Mus musculus: one gene and its partners. The protein of the gene in region 1 purifies or fractionates together with the protein of each later gene. This does not show direct contact. Links are inferred from orthologs where the notes say so. Each region holds a gene or a part of one and is shown in the gene's direction. Other genes may lie near its edges.

Region 1 (4,226 bases):
GCTCAGCTCTTGTGGATCGAGTTCAGTGAATGGTCTGCAGGATGGGAGAAGAAGAAAGCTCATGTCACAACACAACTGAGGCTTTCATTGCTTCTACCATCCCACCATCTGCAACAAGGAATAAACCAGGCACCAAGGACATGCACATGACATTTTCAGAGCATCCTCCCGCATCTCTATGGCCTCGCTTCCATAAGCCAAGTCAAGGAAAGGAAGAAATGATGAAGAATGAAAGGTAGTGTTTTGAAGATGTATTTGTGCCTGCACTTGTGTGTGTGTGTGCTCGCGCACATCATGTGTGTGCCTACATGAGTTTATGTGCACCATGTAAGTACAGTTGCCTGAGGAGGCCAGTTTATGTGCACCATGTAAGTACAGTTGCCTGGGGTGGTCCAGTGGCATTGTGTCTCTCCCTATTGGTCCTCCTCCCTCCCTTCTCTTTCCCTTGCGTCCCTGCTTCCTAGCACAGCCCCGTCCCCTCTCCCCTCTGTTCTTCGTGTTCAGGCTTTACCCCACTATTCTCCACTCTTCTGAGAAGTATGGGCACTACTTTGGTGGCGCTGCTAACACAGTGAATCTTACTCTCGTTTTCACATGTGGGGAACCGAGGCACAAGACGCCGGAGCCTGAATGGTGGAGGCAAGCTACTCTGCTCCCTCCCTGTTAAGCACCCTGCAGTAACCTTTCCCACCCTCCAGAACGTGACCTTTTCTGCCCAGAGGGAGTCCCGAGTACTTCGAGTAGCAACAGGAAGATTTATTCTGACTTCTGATGCAGAGTAGAGTTGCAGGGCCAAAGTTGGTATTATTCAGAGTACGGGCAAAGTCCTAGGGCTGTGACCACACCATCTGGTCTCACGCCAGTCACGCCCATCTTCAACCCGCGCCCAAGCATCTTGACCCCTTCAGGGCTGTCTCAATGCCACCATCGCACCATAGTGGGTTTTGAGATCTTGGGCTGGCCAGTTGCCCTAGAAAAAAGAGGAGGGGCATCAAACCGCATCCAGACGTTCTCAAGTGGCAGCGTTTTTTTTAAATCATCCAGCCCTGAACCCACAGATCCTGGGCTCTTGCTGCTCTCTGGCGGCAGAAGCCGGGAGCCCGGAGTCCCGGGGAATCGCACCTTGTATGCTCCGCTAGGGCAAGGGCAAGCAGAGAGTGACCGCAAGTCCAGAGAGAGGAAGGGAGGCAGCGAGGAGCGCTGGGGCAAAAGCCGGGGTGCAGGAGAGCTGAGGAAAGGAGGATAAGGGGACAGCTAGGGCAGAGGACGGTCGTGAGCACCGGCGAGGACCCCCGCAGCCGCTGGACGCGCGGAGCCCCTTCGCTGGCTCGCGCCGGCCGCCCCCTCCTCCCTCCCCGCCGCCCCTCCTCCGTCCCGCCCCCGCGCAGAGTCCCCTGCGCTGCAGAGGCCGCCGCCTGCACTGACGCTCCCGGAGGAGCCACCGCTCGCCAGGACACGCTTGGAGAGGGGAGCAGGGAGCAGGGAGCCGGCCCCGGCCCTTGTTTTCTTGTGACTCTGCAGCCACCGCCAGAGCCCGTTCCCGTTGGGACCTTCACGGCCTGGTGACCTCCGCCCCGCTCTCCCTGCAGCACCGCTCCCCTGCGGCCCCTCTGCCGCGGGAACTTGGGCAGGACCGACGGGACCGGCGCGCGGGGCTGGCTCGGGCGCTGCGGCGATGCCCGCGGGCTCCCTCCCCGCCACTTGCTCGCCCTGTGCCTGGGCTCGGGCCCCGACGGCTGCGCCGTGAGATGACTTTCCGCGACATCCTGAGCGTCACTTTCGAAGGACCCCGGGCGAGCAGTAGCACTGGGGGCTCCGGCGCGGGCGGCGGAGCTGGCACGGTTGGCCCCGAGGGTCCGGCGGTGGGCGGCGTGCCGGGTGCCACAGGCGGTAGCGCTGTGGTGGGAACCGGCAGCGGCGAGGACAACCAGAGCTCCACGGCAGAAGCGGGGGCCGCGGCAAGCGGCGAGGTGAATGGCTCGGCGGCCGTCGGGGGGCTAGTGGTGAGTGCTCAGGGCGTGGGAGTGGGTGTCTTCCTAGCCGCCTTCATCCTCACCGCTGTGGCGGGCAACCTTCTCGTCATCCTCTCCGTGGCCTGCAACCGCCACTTGCAGACGGTCACCAACTATTTCATCGTGAACCTAGCAGTGGCTGACCTGCTACTGAGTGCAGCTGTGTTGCCCTTCTCAGCCACTATGGAGGTTCTAGGCTTCTGGGCCTTCGGCCGGACCTTCTGCGACGTATGGGCCGCGGTGGACGTGCTATGCTGCACTGCCTCCATCCTTAGCCTCTGCACCATCTCTGTGGACCGGTACGTGGGTGTGCGCCACTCGCTCAAGTATCCAGCCATTATGACAGAACGCAAGGCCGCTGCCATTCTGGCTCTGCTCTGGGCGGTGGCCTTGGTGGTATCTGTGGGACCGCTACTAGGTTGGAAGGAACCAGTGCCCCCGGATGAGCGTTTCTGCGGCATCACCGAGGAGGTGGGCTATGCGATCTTCTCTTCCGTATGCTCCTTCTACCTCCCCATGGCAGTGATCGTGGTCATGTACTGCCGCGTGTATGTGGTCGCGCGCAGCACCACGCGCAGCCTCGAGGCGGGCATCAAGAGGGAGCCGGGCAAGGCCTCTGAGGTGGTTCTGAGGATCCACTGTCGCGGCGCAGCCACTAGCGCCAAAGGAAATCCAGGGACACAGAGTAGCAAGGGGCACACCTTGCGCAGCTCGCTCTCCGTAAGGCTGCTCAAGTTTTCCCGCGAGAAAAAGGCTGCCAAGACCCTAGCCATCGTCGTGGGTGTCTTCGTCCTGTGCTGGTTCCCCTTTTTCTTCGTCCTGCCTCTGGGTGAGTGATTCCCTCACTTTAGACCCTTCCCCTCTGGGCGGTCCTTACCTGGAAAGCTTAGATGACCCACAACCTAACTGTGGAAGTTTATCAACTTCCTGTTCTCTTACTAGAGAGAGAGAGAGCGCGCCCGAGGGGTTCTTGATACTAATGTGTTTTCCCTTAAACAGGCTTCTCACTCTTTCTTACCCTTTGTAGATGTTACAAACCTCGGTCTTGCTTTAGTTCCTTGGAAATCTGAGCAAACATCAATCTGTATGATGTGATCAGTGTGTGTGATCCCCATAGATACCCATCTCTGGAAATAGATTGTGGGTGAGCCCACATGCATTCACTGGCAGCAGACCCAAGCCAGCCAGCCACCTTGTAGCTCAGCAGATGCCAGAAGTGCTGTGTTCTCCATAGACATCCATTTCAGTTGGCCCCACTGGTATCTGGGAGAACCCTGTGGGCTTTCCCTTCTGAAATCTTCTCTGGAAGAGGTTAGAGGAGGGGACTTGTGGGGGTGGGAAGGACAGGATAGGAAGTCTGTCAGGTGGACAATTACTATTGTTTATAGTCATTTACAGAGTGAACTAGTTCCCTTACAAGGGCCCTGCAGTCCTGGGGCAGGTACAACTGCTCTCAAGGGATTCTTCGCACCCCCTGAGCCTCTCTGAAGGTCCTGGAGCAGGGCCCAAGGGCCAGAACCAGCTCAGAGAGGAGAAAGGGGCAGCCTGTCTCAGGCTTATGACTGCAACCTCTCCTGGTGCAACCAGGGCCTCTCCTCCCTTTCCCCCATCTGACTGCTTGAACCTGTGAGACAAAGTCAGGGGAAGAAACAATGACCTGCCTCCTGATCCACTGCAAGTCTCTCACCTACACACACACACACACACACACCAGCAGGAGCAGCAGCAGCAGCCACAGTGACTTTTGTATATCGTAACTCGGTTGTGTGACCCTTCTACAAGTCCCTGAATGTTCTCATACTACTTGGGAACAAAATCCAAAAACTGCCTTCCATAGTCTACAGAAGGTAGCCTTCAAGGTTATTATTGTCCATACCGAAATAGGTCACTATTTAGTATTTACAGTAGGACCATGGGCATGAACTGAAGGAATCCCCAACAGATGTCCTCCCCATCTGAAAGGGGCTATTCCAGGAAGGGCTGCCTCTCTCTGTCCTGCCCTGACCCTCAGTGGGTTAGTTCCAGGCCAAGCCTGTCACCAACCTCTGTTCTTCCCTTTGATTATTTCAGTCTGGACTGGCCCCAAACCTCTTACCTAATTCCAAACCTGGGGGTCTCTACTTATATGCCCCTTTGGCTTGTGTTTCACACCTTCACTGGCTTTCCAGCTTTTCCTTTCAACTGTATGGTCACTGAACCCAGAACAGCACCCAG
Region 2 (3,561 bases), on another chromosome or scaffold:
TCAGATGGTTTTGAGCCACCATGTGGTTGCTGGGATTTGAATTCAGGACCTCCGGAAGAGCAGTCAGTGCTCTTAACCGCTGAGCCATCTCTCTAGCCCCCCGTTACCTCTTTTCAGAAGAGCATGAAGTGCTGAGTGAGGAACCAGCACATGGTGGACAGTGTGGTTTGGTTCTGAGATGAGTGGTTCGGTTTTTATAGCAGAAGAAAGGTAGAATTTTGTTGATCAGTGAAACATCTAGATAGCTGATACTAAGGCTTTAGGGTCACATGAAACACTACCCAAGAGGCATTTCACCATACTCTTGCTACTGTTTAAACCAATTACTCTCTACAGATGTCTAATGACTGTTCTCTTCCTGTGGAAGAGGGAAGTGAAGGTGTCCATATGCTTGTTCTTGGTTGCTCTCTTGGGGAGCTAATCAGAATAGCTTCTATGAGTCATACAGCCTTTTCCTCATTTTGCACATTATGGAACTACAGAAAATGACCTCTGATTCTATTTGCTTAAACTCTGGGTTTTTAGAGTAGTCAGGTCTACATTTTTGTCTTTTTTATTTTCCAGTGTCTCATTGTGTACCACTAGCTGACTTGGAACTTTCTATGTAGACCACGATGGCCTTGCACTCACTGCGATCCTCCTGTCCCTGCCTCTTTAGTGCTGGGATACCTGCATATGGATATATTTTTATTTTAATTCCTAGAATAGACACAGATTTTCTTCTTTTCCTCCTTTCCTTCTTCCTTCTCATCTTCTTCTACCTCGACTTGTTTTTTTGGGAAGAATTAGGACTGAAAATGGCACACATTGTCACACATTTACAATTGGTTTTGAAGTTGCACTCGCAGACTCTGGCTCCTAATGAAATGTAAGGGTGTGTTCAGGTTTCTTTCTTTAGTATGGTACTTAGGGTAATGGTTGGGAATGGCAATACCATGCCTCATTAGGTTCCTTAATTACTATCGTGAAGAAGCGGATTTTTAAATAGGTAAATGAGGAAGAGCAGATATCATAGTTTATCTTTTCTTTTTTCCTCTAGAGTTTGCAAAATGACCTTGAAGCTGAACAGGTGAAGGTAAATTCCTTAACTCACATGGTGGTGATTGTGGATGAAAACAGTGGGGAGAGTGCCACAGCTCTTCTGGAAGATCAGTTACAGGTAAGACCTTGAGAAGTAGGATGCCCTTCAGATCCACTCTCTGGTCAAGGTCCATGTATTGTTCCTCCTGGGCATCCTTGTTTGTACAGAAGGGTATAAAAAAGTAGACTCCTTTAATCATCTTTTCGTTACTGTAATGAAGGTCCTGAGGCAGGCTACTTGATAGAGAACAAAGTTTACTTAGCTCACAGTTTTGGAGGCTGGCAGTTCAGACAGCCTGACAAATGTTCTCCCTTGGCTATGTCTAATAGAACAGAAACATGTGTATGTGTGTGTTGTGTCTCTGCCTTAATTTTTTAATCCATTAGAATTTATCATGATCGGCCACCTTTGTGCCCTGATTTAGAACCCCCCTAAAACCAAACCAAACAAAACAAAACAAAACATCAGATTTCCCCACCCTAACCAGAAACAAAGCCCATCCTCAATCTGAATTTCCACCTTCTTGATACTATTTATGCAAATCTTTTTTAGTTAAATTCTTGTTTGAATTCATGGTGGGGTGGGGTGGGGTGGGGTGGGACACAAAGCATGGCACCTGTTTTTGGTTGTATCTCCCAGTTAGGCCTCCTCATTGTGTGGTTTCAGGCTTAGCTAGGCATTCCTTGTTTCATTCGAGTCCTTGCAGTGAAGGCATGAGATTGTTATTCTGCTCCCTTGTGTATAATGGTGACAACATTTAAAAGCACCAGAACTCATTCAAGTGACTCCCAGGCTTCCCCCAGAACAGTCACTTGAAGAATTGGTGAAGGCAACCATAGCCTGGAAGGTTTGAAGCATAGAAAGTAAACATGTAGATTGTGGTTGTAGCAGTGGTTGAAAAAAAAAAATACAACAACCCTCAGACACATATACCCAATTTTCAAATACATGTGAAATGTTGCATTCCCATACAAACCTTACAGTGAAGTAGGAACAGGAATTCTAGTTTTTTTTTTTTCCTCATCTCTGAGTAATTTAAGTAAGTCTACCCTATGAAAGTTAGTTTTTTTCTCATATATGTACTTAAAAGTATTTTTTGTAGATTGGTGTTTTGGAAAACTGTAGTAATTGTGTCTCCTGGCTGGGCTGACAGAGACTGCTTCTCCCTTCCCTAGAAACTGGGTGAGCGCTGGACAGCTGTATGCCGCTGGACTGAAGAACGTTGGAACAGGTTGCAAGAAATCAGTATTCTGTGGCAGGAATTATTGGAAGAGCAGGTATGAAACTCAACCACTGTCCACTGAGGACAAAACAGTGACAAGGAGCCCATCGTTTCAGTATGGCTGTGGAATGTGGCTGCCCTCTTCTCTAGTGAGAATTCTGGAACTTTGGCTTCTTTAAAAAACACAGAAATATTATAAGAATATGTTTTTTTTTTATCTTAGGTTGTTCCCCCTCCCCCAGTAGCTGATTATGATTTGCCTCGTGCTCTGGTGGGGATGTGATTTTGCCAGCTGCAGATATTTTCTGTGATTGTGTGGCCTTTGTAATCCTGTGGACTCTTCAGAGGGTATATGTCATAGTCAGGGTTTCTATTCCTGCACAGACATCATGACCAAGAAGCAAGTTGGGGAGGAAAGGGTTTATTCAGCTTACAATTCCATACTGCTGTTTATCACCAAGGAAGTCTGGACTGGAACTCAAACAGGTCAGGAAGCAGGAGCTGATGCAGAGGCCATGGAGGGATGTTCTTTACTGGCTTGCTTCTCCTGGCTTGTTCAGCCTGCTCTCTTATAGAACCCAAGACTACAAGCCCAGAGATGGTTCCACCCACAAGTGGTGGTGACACTGTGGACAAAAGTTGTTAATATCATAGTGGATAAGAAGGAGAGGGGGGTAGAGAGAGAGAATGAGAGGGGAGAGGGAGAGATCCTTAATAGGGAATAGCATATAAACAAAGAAATGTGTCTTGCAATTTAGAAGGTAATGAGTCCAATTTGGTGAGGGCTTCTTTCTGGCTCACAAAGGATCCTTTGTTACATTCTTATCAATTTGTAGAAGGAAAAAGTAGTTCTTGATCACTAATTGAGGAAATGCCTTACAGTTGGTTCTCATGGAGGCATTTCCTCAACTGAAGCTCCTTTCTCTGTGATAACTCCAGCTGTGTCGAGTTGACACAAAACTAGCCAGAACAGTATATAAATCCTGGGGCCCTGAGGGTTGTTGGGTTGTTCTTTGTTGGTGGTCAAGGTTAGTCCTGCACAAAGAAGAAACAACAAGAAGAAATTAGATATCCTGACATCGAAGGACTTGGCACCCGTAATCAGCAGGAAATAGTCTAAGGATAACGTTGACCCCTTTCTGGTCCCTGACTTTGTTCATGGATCTCTTTGCTCTCTCCCCTCTATTCTTTTCTCCCTCCTATCTAGTGTTATGGAATCGAACGAGTTGAAGGCGTAGGTAGAAGAGGGTGGAAGGAA
Region 3 (4,096 bases), on another chromosome or scaffold:
GTTGTTAATGATGATGATGATCAACTTGACACATGATAGAGTCATGGAAAAAGAAATGTCAACTAAGGAAATTTCACCATAAGATTGTCCTGTGGGCAAATCTGTGGGGCATTTTCTTGACTAAGAATTAATGTGGAAGGACCTAACTCTTGTAGGCAGTGCCCTCCCAGGGCAGTTAGTATTAGATTAAATAAGAAGGCAATTGGCATTCCTTAGCCAAGCAAGGAATGGGGAGCAAGCCAGTAAGCAGCTCTACCGCCAGGTTTCTGCCTGAGTTCCTGCGTTGACTTCTCTCAAAAACAGACTGATTGGGACATGTGAGCCGAATAAACCTTTTCCTCACCAGATCGGTTTGGACAGTTGTGTTTATCATAGCAATAGAAAGCAAAATAGGACACTTAGTTTCCCTTCACACACACACACACACACACACACACACACACACACACACACACACTTTGTTTCCCAGCGTGTGCTAAAGTGTTATAAGACAACCCTGAAAAAAAGAAGGCTTCCTGGGAAAAGCAAGTGTTTCTCCCCTGTTCTTCCCTTGCAGCTCGGAGTATAAAACAAAAGCCAAATGAAGTCAGTTCTATAACATTATTTTCTTTCTCAGGAAGTCCACCCATTGGCCTGTTGTCCTTAGCACACTGTAAAGTGGCCTCTGTGGCTCTTTTCATTTTCTAATGGGTCCCCAAACAAAGTTTATACCATGTTCAATTATAGTTTTGCTATCTTGCTCTTTCTCTGTAGCCCTAGTTATTCTGGGTAAAATGATAACCAGGTAGAAAAAACATAAGCGTGAACTTCAACCAAAATATCTTTAAAATTTGAACATAGTCTTTGGAGTTTCCTTAAACTGAAATAAAATCCAGGAAAGTTCCTTGTTTGTGCTGTATTTCCCCGGGGAAGCCATTTGCCAAGCTCTGGCTGCCTGGCTCTCTGCCTCCAGGAATGCCAATCAGAGGACATTCTTTTTCAGGCAGCCAAGTTTGGAAGTCAGTTGGTTTCTGTCCGTGAGGTGGGGGTGGGGTGATGGCAGGGGAAGCCAGCGAGTCCTCAGCTGATCTTCAGCTTGCAAAGGTTTCTGTAATAGCCTTCAATGAACGCAGTTCCTTTTACACACGAGGATACAGGTAAAGGACAGCTGAGTAAACCAGCTTTAGAAGAAATGGGCGGAAGCTCCCTGGGAGGGAGGGGCCGAGGGAGACCTTTGAAAGCCTGCCATTGGTGAGTTTACCAAAGGCATCTGCCAGTGGGACTTCAGTGGAATGTGAAACCAAATCGTTTTCAAGTTAAAGATAGACACAGTGGACGCCAGAAACTGGAAGCCGGGTTTTTAAACTCCTGTCTCTCCCTAGAATTTCAGAATTGGTTATGATCTCAGGGGTAATTAGACAATTGGCTAAATCTGTTCTCCCATGAACGTGATAGCAATCACTGTGTGCTCTAGATGAACTGGAACTAAAAAGGTTGAAGAAAGGATGCTGTACCTGGTCCAGGGTAAGTGAGAACACTGGTACTTGGAGGTGCATCTCTGGAAAGGTGGATGTTGACTTTGGCTTTGTAGTTGGTATGAATGAAAGATCGATCGGGGAGATTTCCTTGTGTCTGGATGAAGCTGCTTTTCTTTCTGGAAGTAGGTGGCCTTGGGCATTCTGAGTGGCAGAAAGAAACCCAGTACCTGTGTGAGGCTGTTTCAAGTTTGCATTTCAGAGTTGTAACTTGAAAGAAGCTTGTAGGCTTGTTCTTTGCCGTTAACCCTCAAGCACCTAAGGCTTATGGAGTTAGGAATTATGCGGGAGAAGACTGTAAAATGGAGCACAGCTTCCCTGGGATGGCACTGTGTTCAAATGTAGATGATGAAGATAAGATGTTTTAAAGGGGAGAGAGAGAGAGAGAGAGAGAGAGAGAGAGAGAGAGAGAGAGAGAGAGAGCTCTTTTCTTGTGGTACTCTAACCATTAGAACGAACCCCATCTTTGAAGAGGTGGCAGAAAAAACGCAGGCAGCCTCTATCAGAGAAGACAATGTATAAATAGCAGTTGTTTTGGGGCATTACCTCATTAATTCTAAGCAATACCTCTCCAAAAGAGCTGGTATCTGCTAAGTGAATGGGGGCGTTCTGATTATAAAGAACTCCAGAGAAGAGGAGGGAGGGAAAGTCATTAAATTTACAATCACCACGCTGTGTTTTGGCTATTTAAATGCTCCATCACAAGGAGAAAGGCAAACTTCAGTTCCTCATGTTTTGCCCATGTATAGGTTTTGTTTCTTGTTTGGTCAAGCGACCTTTCCCTCTCCTCTTAGCGACAGCTTTTCCAAACTCACACAGCATTCCTTCTGAATAAATATTGTCCATAATAGTCACCGAGTACAAGGCGAGAATTGGATATTCTCCTTTATATGGGGAAAATAAGCAGGCTGACGCTCCCCTGACAGAATGTGGGGCTGAAGAGTGGTTCCGTGTAACTAGCCTGGGTTTGCTCTGCCAAATAGACCAGACTGAAATAGATGCAAGCAATGAGTGGTTTAATATGGCTTCTATCACACAACTTTGATAATAAAAAGTGATGTAGTATGTCACTTAGTCACTCTTCTAAGCCAAAAAGGTAGGCATTGTAAGAACAGAGTTGAACTTAGAACTGCTGCGCAGCAGAGCAAGGACAAACAAAATGTGAAATTAGCAGAGTCCAGAAGTGGTCAGCACAGCCTGGTGTACCAGTTACCCCCTTAGCTTCCCCCTCCTTCAAGGTTTCTAAGAAATGATGAGGCTCAGTACCCAAGCCCTGTCTGGGAGGAAGAACCTGTCAAGAGTGTTTTAATGTTGTCCTTTGTGGATTGGAAACTTAAGTATTTTGTTAGAAATATTTATCCTTAGAAGAGTTTTTAGGCAGTTTGTTGAAATTGTAGTTAGTGTTTAGTGATCCTTAGAATTAACTCATTAAATTGCACAAATTGCAAGTTATTCTCTATTCCCTATAAGCAGACAGTAACTTAGCAAATTTTTCCTAGTCATTTCAAGAGGCTGGTAATAGTGTATGTGTGGCTGTGTCCTTAACAGCTGACTTTAAGAATGAGGCTGGCATAAATTTGTGAGTGTATGGAGCACAACGCAGTTCGTGCAGAGATATACACACACGCCTGTCATTATACACCTGGTTTGGGTACACCACGATTTACTTCTTGCTATATTGAGATTTGGCTTTTTTGGTTTTCACTATGTTAAAAGAAAAAGTTCAGAGTACAAATTTCTAACATGTAAGATTTTTTAACAACATGTCTAATACTAATGGGGGGATTAAATATGTGGCCCCCACTGTTGGATCATTGTTAAAGTTTCTAGTTCCATAATGAGGTAGAAAACTTGGATTGTCTTCCTTTAGACATGGTGAAGGTTGTAGCCTTTTAGTATGTATCTACTGATTATACCTCACATGTTATTGGATATGTCTCTGTTATTTCCCATCACATGTTCACTCGCAGTGTCGTCTCCTTAATACATGTCATAACTTCGATTTATGTTGAAAATGTATCTTGACAATCACTCATTGAACCTGGTGGCACTAACCTATAATTCCAGCATTTGGTAGTCAAAGTTAGCAGGCTCACTGCAAGTTTGGGTAGCTTGAGCTACTTATATTTCAAAATGACTAAAGGAATGGGTGGTAGAAATCCCTTGTAGGGGTAAACAGAGACCTAGTTAGGGTGATGCTTTTCTGCAGAGAAGGTGGCAGGTAGCAGACTAGAAATACCTTCAGCAAAGTGCAGGGGACTTGAGCTCTCTCTGTGACAGGAGCCCGCATGTAGGCCTAATGAGCAAAGGCTCATTCATGTTCACTCTGTCTTAGTAGAAGACCTGGTCTTTCCAGATCCCAGCATATACTTGGCCAAAAACTTTGACATTATTAATGAAGTCAGTCAGGCCACCAGAGGAAACTGTGTTCGTCAGTCATTTGCCTGAATAGTCATATTCCAAGGGGCAAAACTTTGAGCTTTAAAGTTTAAGTTATCTCTTGTCTTTCTAATTTGTAAAACTTTTATTTATTATTTTTATTGTGTATGTGCGTGAAGGATGGGGTGCGCACATCGCAGCAC
Region 4 (4,232 bases), on another chromosome or scaffold:
CTAACACCTATGTTGGACGGCTGGTAACCCCCTTAATTCAGCTCCAGGAGATCTGATGCCTCTGTCCTTCAGGCACTGCCCTCACGGACACATGCCCACGTGTAGACACACTTTACAAGAAAAAAAGAATTGGAGGATGAGTTGAATTCAGGAGCTCTTTTATACCATTACCGGAGATGCCCATGCTGCTTGGGCAGGTGAAACTGAGTCCTTCAGCTTCCCTTCCAACACTGCAAGCCGAATCCATCAGCCTAACTTGATGAAGAAAGCCAGTCTCAGATTCCTTTTTGCCCCCACGTGTGCTCATTAGCAGCTATGGTCCTTCAAAAATGCTTTATTGTGCTGCTTAGTCAGTCGCTGGGTCCTTCCTAAGGTCAGTGTAGAATCTTTCTTAAGACACAGGCTTCTGAATGCCTTCCTTGGCTTTGTTCCTGGAAACTGGAGGAAAAGGCGCTTTGGCACCTCTTCTCACCACAGGGATTCTGTGTGAGCTCATGGTTGGGCTGAGAGAATGGATTCTTAGCCTTAAGTGACTTCAGTCAGACACATCTTTTCATTCAAGGAGCAGTTAACATGCTGCTAGTTCTTGGCTAATATTAGAAACAATGTTACAAGTTTTTAAAAGGTATTATTTAGCCAGAGCCCAAACTTTTGTTTTTGATTCTCTTGAAGGTGAATTCTAAAGGTAACTGCAAGATACACTGCCTTCTTGCTGAGTATCAAGATATGTGAATATATTATCAAATGTTTCAACTCTGTAAGAGATACAATCAGAACATAGAAGTGGAGGCGAAATGGGACTGTCTTTCCTCGGAAGCCATTGAAAGAAAGATGGTTACAAGTGTAATTGATGTCTCAGTCCCAGGGCAGAGGTTCAACACCATAAAAACATGTAGAAATATTTACGGGAAATCAGAATTGACTTTTGAGGCAAATGGATTTGGTGGAAAGCTTTGTTGGGGACAGTTGTCTTCTGGTAAGAGGCCACATAAACTTGTGGAGGCTCTCGGGTGGCCTGCTCTAGATAAAATTAGGCTTTGGAACTCACCCTTGAGGAAAGAGGCACAGGGGCGGCCAGAGGGCGGGTCCGCGGGGTGGGACTATGGCAGTGGATGGGTGGGGCCGCCCAGGTATTAGGGCGGAGCTGGTGGGGCGTGCCACCCTAGAGGCGGAGCTGATGATCCTGGACTGCTACGCGCCAGACTATGGGTCAGTGGGCGGGACGTAGAGGGGGCTCGGCTAGGGTGCTGGGCAGAACTAGCTAGAGTTGGGTGGCCTCGAAGGCGGGGCCCGCGCGGTGGTACAGGCCTGGGGGCGGGGATACGGGCCCAGGGTCGCATGGAGGCGGGGCCGAAGTAGTGGCACAAGGGTAGGGGTGGGGCCTCGGTGCGGCGAGGCGGCGGGCAACCCGGAGGCTGGTTGGCGGGCAGGCAGAGGTGCGGATAGCGCGCTGTGCTATCGGTGGAGGGCCATGGCCGCTTCTCCAGTCCCGGGCGGTGGCGGTGCGGGAGCTGTCCACTCCTCCAACGCGGCTGGCTTCACCTTCGACTCGGGACTGGAGATCAGGACGCGCTCGGTGGAACAGACTCTTCTGCCCCTGGTTTCTCAGGTACCGCGGCCCCTGGTCCCCGTGTGCGCTGCCCGCGATGGCGGCGGGCGCTCTTTCCTCGGTCCGGCTTGGCGGGGCGGGAGGCGGCGCTGTCCCGCATTGCGCGAGCAAGACGGCGGCACGGCGGGACTCGCGTGGGGGCCCAGAGCCGGGCGGCTACTCCTGGGCTCGCGGTGAAGCGCTGGAAGCGCTGGAGCCCAGCAGGTGCGTTGTTCGGCCTAGGCAGCCGGACCCGCCTGGCCCAGTGGCTCCGAGTGAGGCCCAGCCGCGGGTCAGTAGGACCCCTATGGGGTTCTCTGACTTCCAGAGCCAAGCTGGCGGCCGCTGCTCAGTCGGCCGCCGCTGTCGCTGTCCGCATCGCAGGCCAGACCCAGGCGCTGGGTGCAGACTAAGGCATTCCAGTTTGCCTCTTACTCCAGCGTGTTCTCCAAGGCCTTTGTCCTGTTCCCTTGGTCATGTGTGGGCTCGCCCAACTCCCACCCACTCCGGCCACCTGTCCTGTCTCTCCCTGTCATTTGCCTGCCCACCACCTCTGTCTGCTAGAACTCTGTAGAGTGACAGGAAGGAGTGCTTAATCCTGATTGATGCACACCTTTTGCAAGGTCTCAGTTGGGATTAGTGCATTATTATATTTTGAGTTATAAAAGAAGTCTAGAATCAGCTAGGATGTGCTTAATTAAAAAAAAAAAGTTTGTCTCTCTGAGCTGAGGTATACATAACCCGAGGGCTAGAATTCCTCATCTACAGCTATGGTACTGTGCCAAACACCAAGGGAGGAATTTTGTCTTTGGCTGTGCGTTGGCGATGTGTGACTCATACTAAGCCTGTAACACCTTGGTGACTCATGCCAGGATTACCAAGATTTTAGAGGTAGAAAGAATCTTAAATTATCTTATCCGACTCCAAATTAAAAGATGATTTCTTACAACAACCTCAACTCCTGTCCACCAATGCCTTACATAAACACGTTTAATGAAAGGGAGGTTGTCACTATTCCATAGACTTTTAAATACTGTCTGTTCCAGCCTGGTCGCAAAAATATTTGAAAATTGTAGTTTTATATGCTTCTGAAATTCTTCTAATGCTAATGAAGTAAATATCCCCATTTTCCTCCCTGCATCCTGTGATTAATGGAGCAATGGTGACTATACCTGGCACTCTGTGGCTTTCTGTCTTCCTGAGTAATGCATGCATGCATGGAAGAGCCGCCATTTCCTTTCTAGCACTTACATCTCCTTCCACCCTGGAGACTTCCCCGAACTCCCCATCACCAGAACAACCACACCCCATAAGTGGCGAGGAATGGAGAGAGATGAGAGTGATGGGCTAGAGGCGGATTAGGCTTTACCCATCTCCTTAGTACTAGAAGTTTGCCAGTGCTAACTCATTTAATTCTTGCCACCCCTGAGGTGAGGTGTGGGGTTGTTTCTCTCAGAAGGCAGATGAAGAAGTGGACCGTTAGTTAGATCAGCTAACCTGATGTTAGGAATTTCAACTCTTAAATGCCCAAGAGGGGTTTGAATCCAGGTAGCTTGCCTCCAGTAGTCTGTCTGCTTTTTAGCCACCCCCATGTCCCTTCTAGAGATAAGAGGAGGTGATGTGAGCAGGGCAGAGTAGTTACAAAAAAAAAGTTCCAGTGTAGAAAAACTATCCAGAGAGCTGCAGTCTGAAAAAACAGTAACTTTGTATAGTATCATTGCTAAAACGTTACCAGTACTATGGAGCTGTGTTTTTACCAGTACTATGGAGCTGTGTTTTTTATTCTAAAGCAAGAGAGCAGAAGAGGAAAAGTGTAATTTGCTGCTAAAAATTAACTGGAGGGGAAAAATGCCCTTCCCCGTTTGGTACGTGATGCCTTATTCAGCATCACGGTTGAGGTTCTGTGTCCCACAGTTGTGGCGGTGCCACAGTTCCATGACCGATGTGCATAACGACAGACCATCCTCACAGTATCAAGAGATGCATAAAGCATGGTTAGGGTGCTTGACTGACAAAGTATGGAAGTACATAAAGACAATTTAGACTGATTTCAAAGTTTCACTGAGTTTAAGATATTAAAACTGGAGCTGGGGACATAGCTCAGTTTTTATACATGTGACCCCCAGCATCACATAAGCTATGGCAGTTCATGTAAACTCTGCACTCAGGAAGTGGAGTTTGGGGCCAGCCTGACTCACATGGATCTCTCTCTTCCTCCTCCTCCTCCTCCTCCTCCTCCTCCTCCACGTCCTCCTCCTTGTCATCGTCGTCGTCATCGTCATCCTCCTCCTCCTCCTCCTCGTCCTCTCACCCTCTTATTCTCTTCTCTCCCCCTCTGAGTTTGGGGCTCGGGGTGGGGTGGGGACAGCCCTCTGGAAAACTCACATGCTCAAGAGTTTCTCTTCTATCCGGGCGTGGTGGCGCACGCCTTTAATCCCAGCACTCGGGAAGCAGAGACAGGTGAATCTCTGAGTTCGAGGTCAGCCTGGTCTACAAAGTGAGTTCCAGGACAGCCAGGGCTATACAGAGAAACCCTGTCTCGAAAAACAAAACAAAACAAAAAAAACAAACAAACAAAAAAAAGAGTTTCTCTTCTAAGGATACAGCACTGTTATTCTTATCCACTAATTTCCACATCTCCCTA

Evidence for each region.
Region 2: the proteins of Adra1d (region 1) and Utrn purify together in Homo sapiens (tandem affinity purification; 4 studies listed by BioGRID and IntAct, with this or other methods). This does not show direct contact. The link is inferred for Mus musculus from reciprocal best matches to the Homo sapiens genes ADRA1D and UTRN.
Region 3: the proteins of Adra1d (region 1) and Dtna purify together in Homo sapiens (tandem affinity purification; 4 studies listed by BioGRID and IntAct, with this or other methods). This does not show direct contact. The link is inferred for Mus musculus from reciprocal best matches to the Homo sapiens genes ADRA1D and DTNA.
Region 4: the proteins of Adra1d (region 1) and Ctnnal1 purify together in Homo sapiens (tandem affinity purification; 3 studies listed by IntAct, with this or other methods). This does not show direct contact. The link is inferred for Mus musculus from reciprocal best matches to the Homo sapiens genes ADRA1D and CTNNAL1.

The regions. Positions count from the first base shown.
Region 1 is NC_000068.7:131,559,691-131,563,916, reverse strand, and holds the start of Adra1d (alpha-1D adrenergic receptor), read left to right. Parts: upstream 1-1,419; 5' UTR 1,420-1,748; coding exon 1,749-2,841; intron 2,842-4,226. UniProt on the Homo sapiens protein: This alpha-adrenergic receptor mediates its effect through the influx of extracellular calcium.
Region 2 is NC_000076.6:12,732,696-12,736,256, reverse strand, and holds part of Utrn (utrophin), read left to right. Parts: intron 1-1,039; coding exon 1,040-1,159; intron 1,160-2,256; coding exon 2,257-2,358; intron 2,359-3,561.
Region 3 is NC_000084.6:23,414,123-23,418,218, forward strand, and holds the start of Dtna (dystrobrevin alpha), read left to right. Parts: upstream 1-1,286; 5' UTR 1,287-1,503; intron 1,504-4,096. UniProt on the Homo sapiens protein: May be involved in the formation and stability of synapses as well as being involved in the clustering of nicotinic acetylcholine receptors.
Region 4 is NC_000070.6:56,862,354-56,866,585, reverse strand, and holds the start of Ctnnal1 (alpha-catulin), read left to right. Parts: upstream 1-1,374; 5' UTR 1,375-1,471; coding exon 1,472-1,609; intron 1,610-4,232. UniProt on the Homo sapiens protein: May modulate the Rho pathway signaling by providing a scaffold for the Lbc Rho guanine nucleotide exchange factor (ARHGEF1).